Stegostoma tigrinum: one gene and its partner. The protein of the gene in region 2 binds, or shares a complex with, the protein of the main gene of each other region. Links are inferred from orthologs where the notes say so. Each region holds a gene or a part of one and is shown on either strand. Other genes may lie near its edges.

Region 1 (7,244 bases), on a different chromosome or scaffold from region 2:
AGAGAGACTACTGGAGAAACCTCTGGGTCACTGTACCTGAAGTATTAACTCTGTCTCTCCACAGATACTCAGATCTGCATGATTTTCTCCAGCAATTCCTACTGTGTGGAAACACGCCATTAAGCCCTATATAAGTCCACACCAACTCTCGGAGGAATACTCTACTTGGAGTACTCTTTGATTTATGTTAAAATAGTCACTGAGAGAGTGGAGAAAGATTAAGTGAAATATTTTTGCACAGAGGATTGTTGAAAGATTGAATGTTTTGCCAAAGGGCATAGTGAGATAGAAATTGCATCTTCTGAGGTAAATTGTTTCAATATTTGAATTGGATGAAGATCCAGTGTTGTGGAATGAATTGGACAGTAGGATTAGTTTTGAGTTGCTTGAGAACAGTTGCTACAGGCAAGGTGGACAACTAATATTCTCCTTATAAACATCCACAGCACTATGCTGAGTAGCTGGTTTGAGAACTGTATAGAACTCTATGTAAAGTTTTGACCCCAGTGACTGCATGATTGGGCATGATGCCTCTGACTGTAACTGTGCAAACGTTTAAGGTATTAAACACCTTCCAAACCTGCCTTGTGCTGATATTAAATCCACTGTTTTTGTTCAAAAACTCATTCATCCCTGTAACTGTTCTGAAATTGGCAATATTAGACAGGCAGAGAGAGATGTAATAGGAGTGTATAATGCACTTCTTTAGAAAGTAAGTCCTATATTACTCCAGTGAAACCTATTGTGGGGAAATAAATTATGCATCTGTTGAGTTTTTTTCTGTTGATCTGTGATTAATAAATTTTGTGACTCCCTTTCCTCTCAGATGTTGAATGCAATCTATATTTACCTTCTAATGGTCCCCTTCAGGCATATAATAACTCACTGTTGTTGCATTCCAATATGACAGTATTGCAATGAGGACGTCAAAGGGAGGTATGCAGTCTGTTCATTCAAATATAGTTAAATTCTTAAATATAATAGGATGGCATAGACACAAAGGAATATGATTTTCAGAATTAAAATCTTTGAGCTGTAGCATTATGATTGCCTGCAATCAGTGAGGTTTTGATGTTGAAAAGTAAATTATACCAGTTACGTTAGGGGGCTACCTTTAATAGAGCTCACTGAACTTGCTGCTTGGTTCTGCCAGCCCTGCTTGTATAAGTTTGCATTTTACCCTCACTTTCCCATTAATAGCAACTACAGTTTGTAGGTTAGTTTCAGTTTGCAATATGTACCTAACCTCTACACCTGTCTTGCACGGTAGAACAAGAGGCGCGCATCAAAATGGGTCTGCTTCTGGTAATTTACATGAAGTATGGATATCAATTAGGTACAAATCTCCCAAAAACCTCTATTTTAATTAATGGAATATAACATTCCTAAGTACGTCTGAACATATTGCCATGTGAACACAGCGGTTGAAATACAGTAACTGATTTGGAAAGGGAAACTCAAACAGCAGCAGCCCCCAGCTGAAAGGGCAGAACTGGGTGAAACAACAGGCTGTGGGTTACAATGGCAGGATAAAGTCAGAGATACTTTGAGTCAATTTCCTGGAAAAACCAGTGGCACTGTGGAGTTAGAGCACCATCTAGATTCTAGACCAAGAGGCAAAGGCCAAGGATTTGGAGACCCAGCAATCTTAACAGCAGGATCTTACTTAAATCTAGGCAAAAATTAGCCAGAGAGGTGGGTCAGAGTAAAGGCTCAGTGTCAGTGGGCTGCAGCTTGGGACTTGCAGCCCATTGGTCATTTCTGGAGGAGGAAGACATCAGGCATGACAGTGAGGCAGAGAGTTCAAGTCTGCAGAGGCTGGCAGCTTCCTCTTCAGGCTTGGGAGGATCATTTCCACAATAGAATTACAAGAAACTTAAATTCCTTGTCCCAGCCATTTTTAGCCACTCAGTTCCTCCCTCTTGCTGCTGCCAAGCACAGCCAGTGCTGCTATCTTTGGATCTGGGATTAATCATTTGTTTTTGTTTCAAGTTCTGCTTGAATTCTCTGAAATATCTGTGCTGTAGTAAATTTCTAACCTGTCACATTCTAACTTGTTTGTGGATTGCGAGTTGAACCTTTGCCATGTAACCAGTACCTCTGAATGAACAGCTCTGAGGAGACATTTTGAGACTAACAGGATTAGATGGGTTCGATACAGAAAGGGATGTTCCTGATGGTAGAATTGTCCAGAATCAGGGGTTATACTTTTAGGGTAAGGGGTAAACCTTTTAGGACTGAAGTAAGGTGAAATTTCTTCACCCAGAGAGTGGTAAGCCTGTGGAATTCATCACAGAATGTGGTTGAGTCCAAAACTTTGAGTTTTCAAGAAGGAAGTAAACATAGGTTTTGTGGCTAGAGTGATATGGTGCAGGGGTGGGGGGTGGTGCTGCGGAGTGGAGGAGGTGGTGTTGAGAGTTCTGATCTTTATGGTCAGCCATGTCCATATTGAATGGTGGTGAAGTGTTGAATGTCCGCCTATGCTCCTGCTTCCCTCTTCCATGTCTGTATGTGCAGTCTGTGGGATAGTGCTGGTAACTGGGCTGGGTGTGCAGGCAATGTGGTAAAGCCAAGAAAGAGGGATGAATCAGAACAGATAGCTGAATGAGACCTGACCTTCAGATCCTGTTTTGAGTGTGTGGCCTAACTACCTACCCCCACCCTCCCCCGTGTACTTGCGCGCACACACAGTCACCAACCCTGTGTCCTGCACTGTTGTTGCTCTGTCCAAGCTTCCATCCTACAACTCCTACACGCAGTATCCTCACACTGTGCTGGTCTTTTATTCCTTCATTCACTTGACCACCAGCCCTGACCCAACAATCCACCTTACCTGGGGGAAAATAACTGTACAAGATCGGTGATACTGGAAAATGGACATAACCAGTTGTACCAGACTTCTGTTTTGAAGAATATAATAGAAGATGGACCAATATGTGTCTTTCGCCACTTTCTATTTCTTTCTTCATGAATAACATTTTACTGAATCCATTGAGTCTCCACTCCAGCACCACCTCCCATGCTCATTGCTCGCTCGTGGCTCCTATCCATCTCCAGGCAGACTAAGGCTGATATAATGTCAGATGGATTAAGCACCAAGGGTACAAGAAGCACAAGAATATTGTACCAGAAATATCGGAGGTGAGTTGTCACATTACCAAAAGGATGTGGATGCTTTGGAGAGGTTGCAGAGGTGGTTCACCAGGCTGTTGCCTGGTATGGAGGGCACTAGCTATTATTTTAATTAGAAAGATGGAGATTGAGGGGGGAACCTGATTGAGGTCTACAAAATTGAGGGGTATAGACAAGGTGGATAGCAAAAGCTTTTTTCCAGAGTGGGGGACTCAATTACTAGGGGTCACGAGTTCAAAGTGAGAGGAGGAAAGTTCATGGGAGATGTGTGGAAGGTTCTTTACGCAGGGGGTGGTGGGTGCCTGGAATGCGTTGCCAGCAGAGGTGGTAGACACACACGATAGTGTCTTTTAAGACGTATCTGGACAGGTACATGGATGGGCAGGGAGCAAAGGGATACAGACCCTTAGAAAATAGATGACAGGTTTAGACAGAGGACCTTGATCTGCCTAGGCTTGGAGGGCCGAAGGGCCTGTTCCTGTGCTGTAATTTTCTTTGTTCTTTGAGTGGTGCCCTGGAGTCAAACGCTTGACGCAAGGTGGCCAACTGTATTTTAAGGAATTGTCCTTTGGCATTACCCTGAGTCCTTTGGCAAAATAGGCCTTTTGCCCCATACCTCTACAGCTTGTGGGAGACTGATCCTATCTTCAAGCTGAATTATGTAAGAATGACTGCTGGTGAATGAGAGGGCAAGCAGATAGGTAATGATATTGTGATTCATCAAGATAAAGTTGCAAGTTCTAATTGATTTTGACTTCACCCCTGCTCCCCCATCCTTTGCTGTTACTGGCTGTAAGAACTGACTAATCCCACTGCACTCTCGGGCCCATTCTCACAGTCAGCTGCACTCACTCACTGTGCTCACTTTATCAAAATGTTCTGTGCTTTATTCCATAAGAAGTGGTCATCTTGCTGTGGGACTATCACCTTAAAAAAAAACTCTGTAAAGTATAGGACACCCTATCTGTATATGTCCCAGTTCTACCTGCTGTGCAGTCTTAAATAATTTGAAGGGTGCAGTTACTCTTTAAAGCAGTCGGGTTTTCTATCCTGTCGCCTGATTCATTAAATGTTTTAGGTGTTACGTTTGCCTGCTGTGCAAATTTCACTACTGCTGAGCTTTTCCATTGATTGGCTCCGACACAGGAAGTTTCATCATGTGTATTGCCAGTGTTCAGGGTTGTTGAGAATTCACTTCACCAGTACAGCAACAGCTGTTACTGTCTTTGTTCAGGTAATGTAGCGTCAAGTACTTTATAGACTTGGAGCTTAAATCCTTCTGCCATTTCCAGACAGTTCTGTTACTTTAACATGTAAAATTTATGGCTCTCCTTTCTCTAGAGATATTTGTAAAATGCAGCTACATTGCTAGTGAAGGATGACTGACAATGAAAACAGGCAGCCAGAGGTTACAGGAGGGGGTCTGTCTGGGGAGTATATCTCCAACCCACTGATGAGTGGTAAGTCAAATTACTTTATAACTAACAAGGAGAAGTGAGTGTCTGTTGCAATTCTGATCGCTTTTATGCTGTGCTTTTAATGGTAGTTGTCCTTGAGACACTAACATATAAGAAGAACACAATGTGCTTCCTGTTTCAACTGTTCTGATAGAAAACATCGTCCGGTCAAACTCTTGTCGTCTGTAAGTCAGGGGTTCCTATTTGGAGACGACCGCAAAAAAAACCCAAGGCTGACATTCCTCTGCAGTAACAGAGGAGTGCTGCACTCCCATCATTCAGATAAGACATTGGACTAAGGGCCTATCTGAAAATACCATTTTTAAACAAGAACTAGAGAATTATCCAACGTGCTAGCCGAACATTTACCCTCTTCCATCACAAATCAATGCTGTTTTTGGGTGCTTGTTAGGTATAATTTGGCTGCCATGTTTACAGCAGTGACCGCACTTTAAAAGTACTTTGGAAGTTGAGCACTTTGGAATGTCCCGGGTTTGAAACATTTTATTTGTTCATGTGATGTGGGCTATCACTGGCTTTAAAAAAAAATCATTCTATGAATTACAGTTCTCCACCCTTTGTGTCCCAGTTCCACTTTCAATGTAGTCCTAAATAGTTTGAAGAATGTGTAGTTATTCTTCAAAGTAATCAAGATTTCTGCAGTCTGGCTAGGGCTGTTTAAGGCGTAATGTCTGCCTGCTCTGCAAATTTCATTCTACTTTCCATGGATTCCAACACAGCAGCGTTTATTGCCCTCCTCTAATTGCCCTAGATTGTGGTTGTAAGCTTCCTTCTTGATCCCATTTGGTGTAGGTAAAGAGAGTTTTTCCAGTAAGGAGAGAATTCCAGGATTTTAGGTCAAAATATACTATATAAAAGCAAGTTGTTTTTCTTTCTTTTCATATCACTAGTTAAATGTGCATTTGGAATAACTGGGTTTAAAGTCACCATTTAAATGTGCACAGTGATGTGAGGCCCAATTGCTTTTACAAAAGCGCAATGGTGTTGTTAGGGGGTGGTCACTCACATTTTGGATCCCAAACTTGGTTCATTTTGTCGGAAAGATAAAGTTGGTTTAAATAAGATTTCAACTAGTGAATGTTACTCATTTGTAATCTCTTAATTCTAGCTGCTGCCTCAGATGTATAAAATGCAATTTTGATGTCTAGAATTGGAGCATTGATAAAAAAAATTACCTCCAGTACGGTTCAACAGAAGCTTCAGAAACGTTCATGGTCATCTTATTCGGTGATTTCTTGCAGTCTTGACTTGTATTTATTTTGTAGCTTTTCACAACCTGTGCTGCAGGTAATGAAACATCATTGAGATTTACTCATTGGTGCAGCTATTGGTCAGGGCACTGCAAAAAGACTCACCCACTCTTCTTTAAAATATGGGATTTTATTTTGCATCTGCTTGAGAGAGCATGTTTGAGGAGTTTGGTTGTGGGGGAGTGGAGAGGTTGAGGGTTTGGTTACTTGGGCAATCTGAAATCTTCAACCCGTCAGCAGCTCTGGGAAAATACTTAGCTGCTGTGTTCATCTGCTCCCATCTTTCTTAAGCTGGCAACTAGCTCTGATATCCCAGGCCATAGAAAATAGGCTTTCCAAAAAAAATCCCATTTCTAATGGAGGTGCGGCTTGAGGTGGGACGAGGGGTTAGGTGAGAGGAAGAACAGGTTAGGGAGGTGGGGACGAGCTGGGCTGGTTTTGTGATGCAGTACGGGAAGGGGACGAGCTGGGCTGGTTTTGGGATGTGGTGGGGGAGGGGGAGATTTTGAAGCTGGTGAAGTCCACATTGATACCATTGGGCTGCAGGGTTCCCAAGCGGAAAATGAGTTGCTGTTCCTGCAACCTTCGGGTGGCATCATTGTGGCACTGCAGGAGGCCCATGATGGACGTGTTGTCTAAAGAATGGGAGGGGGGAGTTAAAATGGTTCGCGACTGGGAGGTGCAGTGGTTTATTGCGAAGCGAGCGGAGGTGTTCTGCAAAGCGGTCCCCAAGCCTCCGCTTGGTTTCCCCAATGTAGAGGAAGCCACACCAGGTACATCCTGTCACCTATCCCCTCCTCCCACCTCAAGCCGCACCTCCATTTCCTACCTACCAACCTCATCCCGCCTCCTTGACCTGTCCGTCCTCCCTGGACTGACCTATCCTCTCCCCATCTATACTCTCCTCTCCACCTATCTTCTCCTCTATCCATCTTCGGTCTGCCTCCCCCTGCCTCCCTATTTATTTCAGAACCCTCTCCCCATTCCCCCTCTCTGATGAAGGGTCTCAGCCCGAAACGCCAGCATTTGTGCTCCTGAGATGCTGCTTGGCCTGCTGTGTTCATCCAGCTTCACACTTTGTTATCTTGGATTCTCCAGCATCTCCAGTTCTCATTATCTCTGATCCATTTCTAATAACCAGTTTAGTTAATTTCTCTGAACATCTTGTGCCTGTTCTTGAAGATGACTAAATTATCCCACAGAATCAACTTCTCAATGGAAAATGACTGCTCATCTGCATCAGATGAATATATTTTGAGGGCACCGTTAACTTTTACAGAACCTTTTTTCATTCAAAAATATTCCTCATTAATTCAGAGAGTGTTAGAATCTTGGCAGAGGGAGGAGTGCTACTTCTGTCTACAGATGTTGTTTGACGTGCTGA
Region 2 (7,901 bases):
CATGCTGCAGCCACTGGTATCTGAGCTTAAGAGTGTCATTGCTGAAGTGTATCGTTACTGAAGTGGTTATGGTGTAAAAATCATTGGGAGCTGGGTCATACATCCCCTGAATTTGTAAACTATTCACCTCCAAGAACAAATCTGACTCAACTGTACAGTTAACTGTTTGGCAAGGTTCTTAAGCTCAGTTAGCCTAAGCAGTTTCTCAAAACAAACTACCTTAATTTGCCACCTAATTACTAAAGAAAATGACTTCCCCACTCAAAGAAAGCACAAGGACACTTTGTGGTTTAGATTCCAAAGTACAGGCAACATTATTCTGCTTTTGGCTGTCTGACGAGGCGCTACCTGACACCAAGCCAAAGAATTCTATTCTACAGCACTTCTTTGAGAAGCACATAAATTTGCAAGATCAGATCAAATTCAGAGTTTATCATAAGTTCTAAACTGATGGACAGTCTGCTTCAAATGTAGCTAAAATTAAGTGGCTTCCCACATGTCTGCTGCCTTGACTTCTACAGGCGATAGAAGTCATAGGCCAGGGTTAGGCCACATTTTATTTAACAGAGATGCTATTCAGCCGCATGCTGAGAATTTAATATGTACAACAAAACATCATATTTTTGTCAATATATTTACTCACTTTAAATTAAAGCCTGCTATTATAGGAGGGCTTTAAACAAAATAAAATCTCAAAGACGCATTTATTTGTTTGGCAAAGTTGACAACAGAACTAATAATAAGTAAAAAATGTGGACAACAAACTATTTACAGACATTTTTGATTTGTTTATTGTGACACAGGAATCAGATATTTGGTTCCAACATGGTTGACGTAGCTTTAATTGGTCCTCCAGGTGAATATCTATCATCTGTGATCTCAAAGGACATTTTAACTTGAGTCACATATGAAAGTGTGTATCACAACAGTAGGTTGTGCCAAAACAAGACAGCATTTGCTGAGGGCATTGACGTAGACGTGGGTATTCAATGGCATTTTTCCATTTTTCAATGGGATTCTTCTTAATGTCAAAGAGACTTCAGAATATTATCTTCTGAGCACTCAATCAATTCCATCTGTAAGTCATCAGGTGCTTTGGAGACAGCAACCAGGCATGGTTGAAAAGCTAGTTTCAGTGTAAGACCATGTTTCTCAAAATCTGCGAACCTTTCACCGTATTCTTCAATCAGGGAGGAGTCTAGAACAGCTGTGCATTCTTTCACGTCACATTTCCTTAATGATTTACATGTACTTTGTTCATTAATTACCTTTGCCACTCAGCAAAGTGTTCAGCTGAAAGTTCTGGTCAAGTAGGGAGCGTATTGAAAAAGGTCAGCTTTTTCCAAAACGCCTGGATTTTTTGTCACATATTATATATAGATTTAGTATTATTTTGCAAAAAAAAACCAGATCATTTTGCTTTGATATTATGTCACACAAATATGCAGCATTTCTGCAGAAATCCCTTTTTGACAATTCACACAGTTCATTTAGTTCTTCAAAATAAATCGTAACTTGTTTTTGCAAATGTAAAAGTTTTGAGTATTTGTCTTTGTGACAACCAGTGCACTTTTAGAATGATTTGGCAGATCCACACTGAATGTTTCACCATCAAGATGAATTATGTTATGAAACTGGTGACACTGGATCCATTTGCTCGAATGTAGTTTACAGTACCTATAACTTTATTTTGTGTGACACCTAAAACTTCAGATTTGGCATAGAGATTCTGTTGATGCAAAAGACAATGAAAGGAAATCAAAGTATCTGGATCTGGTAATTCTTTTTGAAGTAATGCAATAAATCCTTCATGTTTTCCTCTCCTGGAAGGTGCACCTTCTGTGCATACACTTCATAAATTCAGTTTTGCTTCATGGCATTTTTCTTTGAAAACAGTAAAGATGTCAATTCCATGTGTCCTCACTTTAAGGGTACCCAAAGCCAGTAACTCCTCAGGGCAATGAAAATCCACAGTAATAACACAAATAAAACCTAACACCTGCGCTAAGTCAGTAATGTCAGTGGGTTTATCCATGGCAATCAAATAATAAATGTCCTCACTTTGGCATATGAAGTTGTTCTGTTATGTGGAGGGCTAATTCATGTTGCTGATCAGTTATAGTCCCAATTGAGACGTAGTTGTCTTTACTTATTAAGCTTATCCGAATCTAAACATCCGACAACTTCAACAATGCATTCTTTATTGATTTCCACATTGCTAAATAGCTTACCTCTTCTTCCAAGTATATATACTATTTTATAAATCGCTTCAATGAAGTCAGTCCATTGTCCTGACATTGTCTGAAATACTTGCTGCTGCTTTTGATCTTTCATTTTCGTAAGTGCAGACTTTTAGGGTTCCCCTTCCAGTTTAGCATATTTGTGGTCCTCATGAGTTGCATCATGCTGCTTTGCATTGTATTGCTTTACTGTTACAATTATGGCATCGCAGAGCAAATACATCATTTAATCTTTCACAGACTACAATTCCCATTCTTCATTGAATACTGTTCTCTCCCTTTAATGTTCTTTTAGTTTTTGATGTGACAGGATTACCAGTAAAAAATTTTGAAGTAATACACAGATTTAAAAAGGTGGATGTAGTATTGGTGGACAAACAGGCAGAAGGCTGCAGGTTCCCTATCCCTGTCGAAGGCTGTTGCAGTGTATTTTGTAAAGGATACGTCACTGCTAAAACGCTGCGGGTGGCAGAGGGAGGGAACGCTTATGGTGGTGGGTCAGGTGCCTATCAAGTGGGCTTTGTCCTGAATGGCATTCAGTTTCTTGAATATCATTTGAGCTATCCTCAGGCAAATGAAGAGGATTCCATCACACTTCTGATGCATCTCATAAATGTAGATGTGCAGTGGGGAGTCTGCAGGTTAATTCCTCACTGCAAAACATCCAACATCTGTTTTGATCTTGGAGCTTATGTATTTGAATAGCCGGTTCAGTCTAGTCAATGGTAATCCTGAGGATGTTGATAATACGAAATTTAGTAATTGTAATAGAATTGAAATGTGAAGGAAAGATGGATAGATCTTCCCCTGTTAGAAATACTAACTTCCTGGGACTTGAGTGACACAAATGTCACTTATCAGCCTAAACTGGCACAAACAGCTTCAGTATAAGGAGTTGAAAAGGGTACAGGTTATTGTGCAATTAGGTAATATCCCCAATTCTGACACTATGAAGAAGAAAAACATTGAAAATGGTCAGGCCTCGGAAACTACTGAGAAGCTGTTGTTCTGAATTTCCGATCAACTGTCTCCAACAACTACAACCGATTTCCTAAATGCCAGTTATGATTCCAACCAATGGAGAATTATTCAAGACTCTCATTGATTTAACCTTTGCTAATGGTCCTTGAATCTACATCCAAAATACTATCTTGATTCAGGATCAGTACTCTCACCTCTCCTCTTGATTTCAACTTGATTAAGCATGGTCAGATCAAGGTTGTTAATATGTCAGAAGTTCATAACGCTAGTGGAACTCAAATGGAGTACTAACAAACTGATTAAGCAGTTCTTACTATCTCTGATTGCAGAGTTAAGTGCCATTTAAAAGCACAAACAATTATGTCATTCCTGACATTGCTTTGGATTGAGTATTTACTGATCGAGTGGTAATTGGCCAGATTGGATTAGACTTGTTTTTCAAGAGAAGACAAAATAATGTATGACTTGGAGGGCAGGTAATGCCAATGTTGTAGTTATACTGAAACATCTTGGCAACATGCATGGGTGATTCTGGATGACATCTTTAGTACTAACACCAAGTTGCTGTGACTGCCCATACTTATATCCATTTTCTTTTTCATTATTTCATAAGAGCATCATTGACGAGATCAGGATTTGTTAGTCATATCAATATCCCTTGAATCGAGCGACTTTCTAAGCCTTCAGGTGGCAGTTAGGAATTGACCATATTGCTGTGGGTCGAGAGGCACATGTAGGCCAGTATGGCTAAGGATGATAGATTGTCTTCCCTAAAAAAAAGTATCTGCTGCTTGGGACCTCAGGAAAGACCAAGATGCACCACCCTGTTAAGACTTCTGGCTAAAGATAGTTGAAATGCTTTAGCTTCATTTGCACGGACATACTAGGTTCCAATCAGTGAGGATGGTGACTTTTGTAGAATCTCCTCTACTGACTGCTTTAATATTCCTCATATATAATTAAACCTACCAGGACCTACCAGTTTTGCCCTGATCCATTGATTGTGGGATTTAAGGTTTTAACAAAGAAAATGTGGAGTATTTTGCTCTGTCCATCACACTTCTGCAATTTAGCATACACGTAGGACACGCTTGATCAGAGTGTCATTGACTCATTCTAAGGAAGACATGATGCTGCTTATGTTCTCAGCTGGTCAATTCTCTGGCTTGGTGACAAGGTCGGTTGAGAGATATACAGTGCAATGAATTTGCAGGTCGTTCTTGATTACAATTCTACTGTTTGTGGTCCAGAAGTCGCCTCATGGGTGCCCAGACTTAAACTAAACTGAATTCAGTATATAATGCAAAACTACGACCTGGTGTTGGTAACGATACACTAGCAACACCACCTGCTTTAACAGGGTCCTCCTACACATAGGTACACGCATAACCTCTGAACGCCACCAATCCTAACGAACACCTCGGCATAACCTTGCAGGTTTTACTTTTAACGCTTCTGTCTTGAAGAAATTATTTGACAACACGTGACAACAGAATGCAAAAACTCACCAGCCCCCACGCCACGAACGGTGCCCAGGCAAACGCGACGCACGCTGATGAGGTCACAGCACATGCCCTTGGGCGCGCGGTGATGATGCGCAGAAATCCCCTTTGATTGACAGTTCATGGTGTGAACGGGGTTAAAAGTAGCAGCCAATAGCAGCGCAGCCTCGCCGCGCTATATAATTCAATGGGGACGTGCGGGGCGCTCGGACACCAATCAGGGTAACGTGGAGATAGGCTGAGGAGGGAAGAGCAGGCTGAGAATTAAATCGGCTTCTTAAAATTCTCGTCATTCAGGTAAGGTTATTTAAAGAAAAAAACAATTTAAACGCTATCCAATAATTTGCATCGTTTTGTTACAAAGCCGTTTAGTATTTAATCTGAATGCATCTCTAGCAAAAATGCATCAGTGTAACTGTCTTCGTATAAATTGCAAAGTATTCGAAAAGATGAATTAAAATTATTTTGCTATGAAACGAAAGCGTCAGCTGTGGTTGCATGTTTTAGTTTAATGAAGTATTCCTCATTCCCTGCCTCCAAAATAATTCATTTGGATGTATGTTTGCTCCGAGCATTCTTCCGTGCATTGACTGATTAGTAAAGCAGTATTGAAGGAATTTTTAAATTAGTTCATAGATTGTCTTTATGTTAATGAAAGTTTCCTAGGGAGTAAAATGCTTCTAATATTGAAAACACATTCAAATCTAATTTTGTGCATTTAAGATAGATTCCAGCAAGCTTGGAAAGGATCAAGAATGGCATTTGGGCTAATCCATTGGTTTTAATCTGTGACATCTGGACTTTAACACTTAAATAGCTGCTGTACTTGAATTGTCCTCAAATGTTGCATACAATACAACGGGAAAGGGTCACGAAGGACGAGGAATTTACGTAATTGGAAGGTTATTTGAGAATCCAATAGTGTCTTTTCAGCGATATAGAAGTACAAGACAATGTCGGAAGGGCAAAAGTATTAATCTCAATGTCAAAAATCCATCTCTTCAAATAAAATCACGAAATCGTTTTTAGTAACCTTGATAACGGTAATCGAGACCTCGAAACGTAAGATGTGTCTGAAAGATGCTAGAGACTTTGCTATTATCGCTCAGAAGTTTATTTACACCATTTGCTTCAAGCACACTGCAAATTTCGAATAACTCGTGTTCTCGAATTCACGGTTTAGAAACCAGCGTTCTTGCTGAATGGCGTGATTTTTAAAAAAGCCGCAAATGGGTCTCAGTCGTATTTTTAAAGAGCTGGACGGAAACTATTCAAAGTCTGATTATTAGAAATTCGTATTTTTAATGCGATTTCCAAAACTCTGGTTTGCGTCCGCAGCAGAAGCGGTTACTATGCCATTCAGCAACAGCCACAACCTTCTGAAGATGAAGCATTCCGCGAAAGAAGAATTCCCGGATTTGAGCCAACACAATAACCACATGGCTAAAATCCTGACCCTGGAGACGTACAGCAAGCTGAGAGATAAGCAAACCTCCAGCGGATTTACCCTTGACGATGCCATTCAGACTGGGGTTGACAACCCAGGTAAAACCGCACTGTAACGAGCTATCTGCTTTTCTCTGTACAGGAGTGTTGCTTTCCAAAGGCTGTACGAAATCAGTTGGAAAATGTAAACTAATCCCGATCCTGATCAGCTGTCAATACAGCCTGTCATGTCCATCATCATTAAACGGATCATTTATTACATGGTATTTCCACTTTAAATTTAAAGTGCTCTGATTTTGTTTTTCCCTAGCCTCTAGGCTGTGAGCCTCGATGGATTGGATCGGTTTGCATTACACCAAGCGCGGCAGCGACCTGCTGTAGACGAATGGTAGATGGTGTCTGGGATGTGATCCGTCCTATTTATGTTTGATTTTTCACTTCCATCTGGGTGTGACTTCCCCCGCACCTCCAGTGTTGAAACTCAAGAGATTATGGCCAGGAGAGTCCCCCTGATCTGAGCAAACGCGAAAAGCACATGGTCCAAGTGCTGTGCAAGAAACTCCAAAAACAAGGCCACTCCAGGTGGCTTTACTTTGGATGATGTACAGGGATTGATAACCCCTGTAAAACCTTCCAGTCGGCTGGATGAGTGTGTCGAGTTCCTTCTCTAATCGCGTTAAACTGTAGTGTTTTAGTGGCCCGGCTGACTTTTCCGCCTCCCCGCAGTAAACTCCCGATTGTCAAAGGAACGTGAGACGTGTCCTTGTGAATCATTAAGTGACCGTTTTGCTGGGTTCTGTACCCTCTCTCTCAACTCACTTGAAGTAAGCAGATATTTGGAACCCTTCAATTGTCAGTATTGCGATCCAATTCTAATATTGGGAACAAAAATTTTCAATCAAAAATGCTGTAAGCAGCATATTTGAGATAACAGTGTGAAGCTGGATGAACACAGCAGGCCAAGCAGCACCTGAGGAGCACCAAAGCTGTCGTTTCGGGCCTAGACCGTTCATCAGTGACATATTTCTGTTGCTCAGTACCTTTTTTAAATTATTCTTTTCTGCTCTCCTTGCCTTCTAGTTAAAATTCTAACTCTGCCAGATTTAATTACCAATTGTTATATCCAATGAAAGAGTGCTTTTCTCTTTTTTCCCTGTACAGGTCATCCATATATTATGACAGTAGGTTGTGTTGCTGGTGACGAAGAATCCTATATGGTTTTTAAGGACCTCTTTGATCCAGTCATTCAGGACCGTCATGGTGGCTACAAACCTACTGATAAGCATAAAACTGATCTTAACCATGAGAATCTCAAGGTGAGGAGTCTCTATATGGAATTCTTTAAAAATTCACTTATGGGATGTGGGCCTTGCTGGCTGGCCAGCCAGTGACTTATTGCCAAGCCCTTAGGGCTTGGAGGTGTTGGTGAGCTGCCGCCTTGAACTGCAGCTGCCCACCTGCTGTGGGTTGATCCACAATACCATCAAGGAGGGAATTCAATGGATTGTGTCTTTATTTTTACGTGAAAAGTAAATGAGATGTAAAACTGCTGCTGGAAGGATTTTTGACTGGCATTATACTGGTAGTACTACAAGGTTAATGTTTTTTGCCAGAGCATTTGCTAACATTATTTAATGTTGTGCAAACTGTAGAACCTACTGATTTCTGTTTTGACACCACATTTTTAACATCTAGAATCTCTGCTTGGAGAGTTTATTTTTTATATAGCTTC

Evidence for each region. The genes of interacting proteins can lie anywhere in the genome.
Region 1: the proteins of creatine kinase B-type (region 2) and ankyrin repeat and SOCS box protein 9-like are in contact, whole or in part, in a cryo-EM structure (PDB 6V9H), measured with the Homo sapiens proteins. The link is inferred for Stegostoma tigrinum from reciprocal best matches to the Homo sapiens genes CKB and ASB9. Residues at the interface, in NP_001814.2 of Homo sapiens: Asn63, Pro64, Gly65, His66, Pro67, Tyr68, Ile69, Thr71, Arg130, Arg132, His191, Val198, Ser199, Pro200, Leu201, Leu202, Leu226, Trp228, Glu232, Ile238, Met240, Asn286, Arg292, Gly303, Lys304, His305, Glu306, Lys319, Arg320, Gly321; in NP_001026909.1 of Homo sapiens: Leu25, Asn27, Pro28, Leu29, Met30, Gly31, Asp32, Ala33, Val34, Ser35, Asp36, Trp37, Pro39, Glu42, Ile45, His46, Trp60, Ala67, Asp68, His69, Glu75, Ala100, Asp101, Trp102, Val111, Asp133, Leu134, Ser165, His166.

The regions. Positions count from the first base shown.
Region 1 is NC_081365.1:76,134,873-76,142,116, reverse strand, and holds the start of ankyrin repeat and SOCS box protein 9-like, read left to right. Parts: upstream 1-4,213; 5' UTR 4,214-4,366; intron 4,367-4,473; 5' UTR 4,474-4,510; coding exon 4,511-4,592; intron 4,593-7,244. UniProt on the Homo sapiens protein: Substrate-recognition component of a cullin-5-RING E3 ubiquitin-protein ligase complex (ECS complex, also named CRL5 complex), which mediates the ubiquitination and subsequent proteasomal degradation of target proteins.
Region 2 is NC_081363.1:40,273,561-40,281,461, reverse strand, and holds the start of creatine kinase B-type, read left to right. Parts: upstream 1-4,899; 5' UTR 4,900-5,020; intron 5,021-6,061; exon of another isoform or gene 6,062-6,064; 5' UTR 6,065-6,075; coding exon 6,076-6,268; intron 6,269-7,330; coding exon 7,331-7,485; intron 7,486-7,901. UniProt on the Homo sapiens protein: Reversibly catalyzes the transfer of phosphate between ATP and various phosphogens (e.g. creatine phosphate).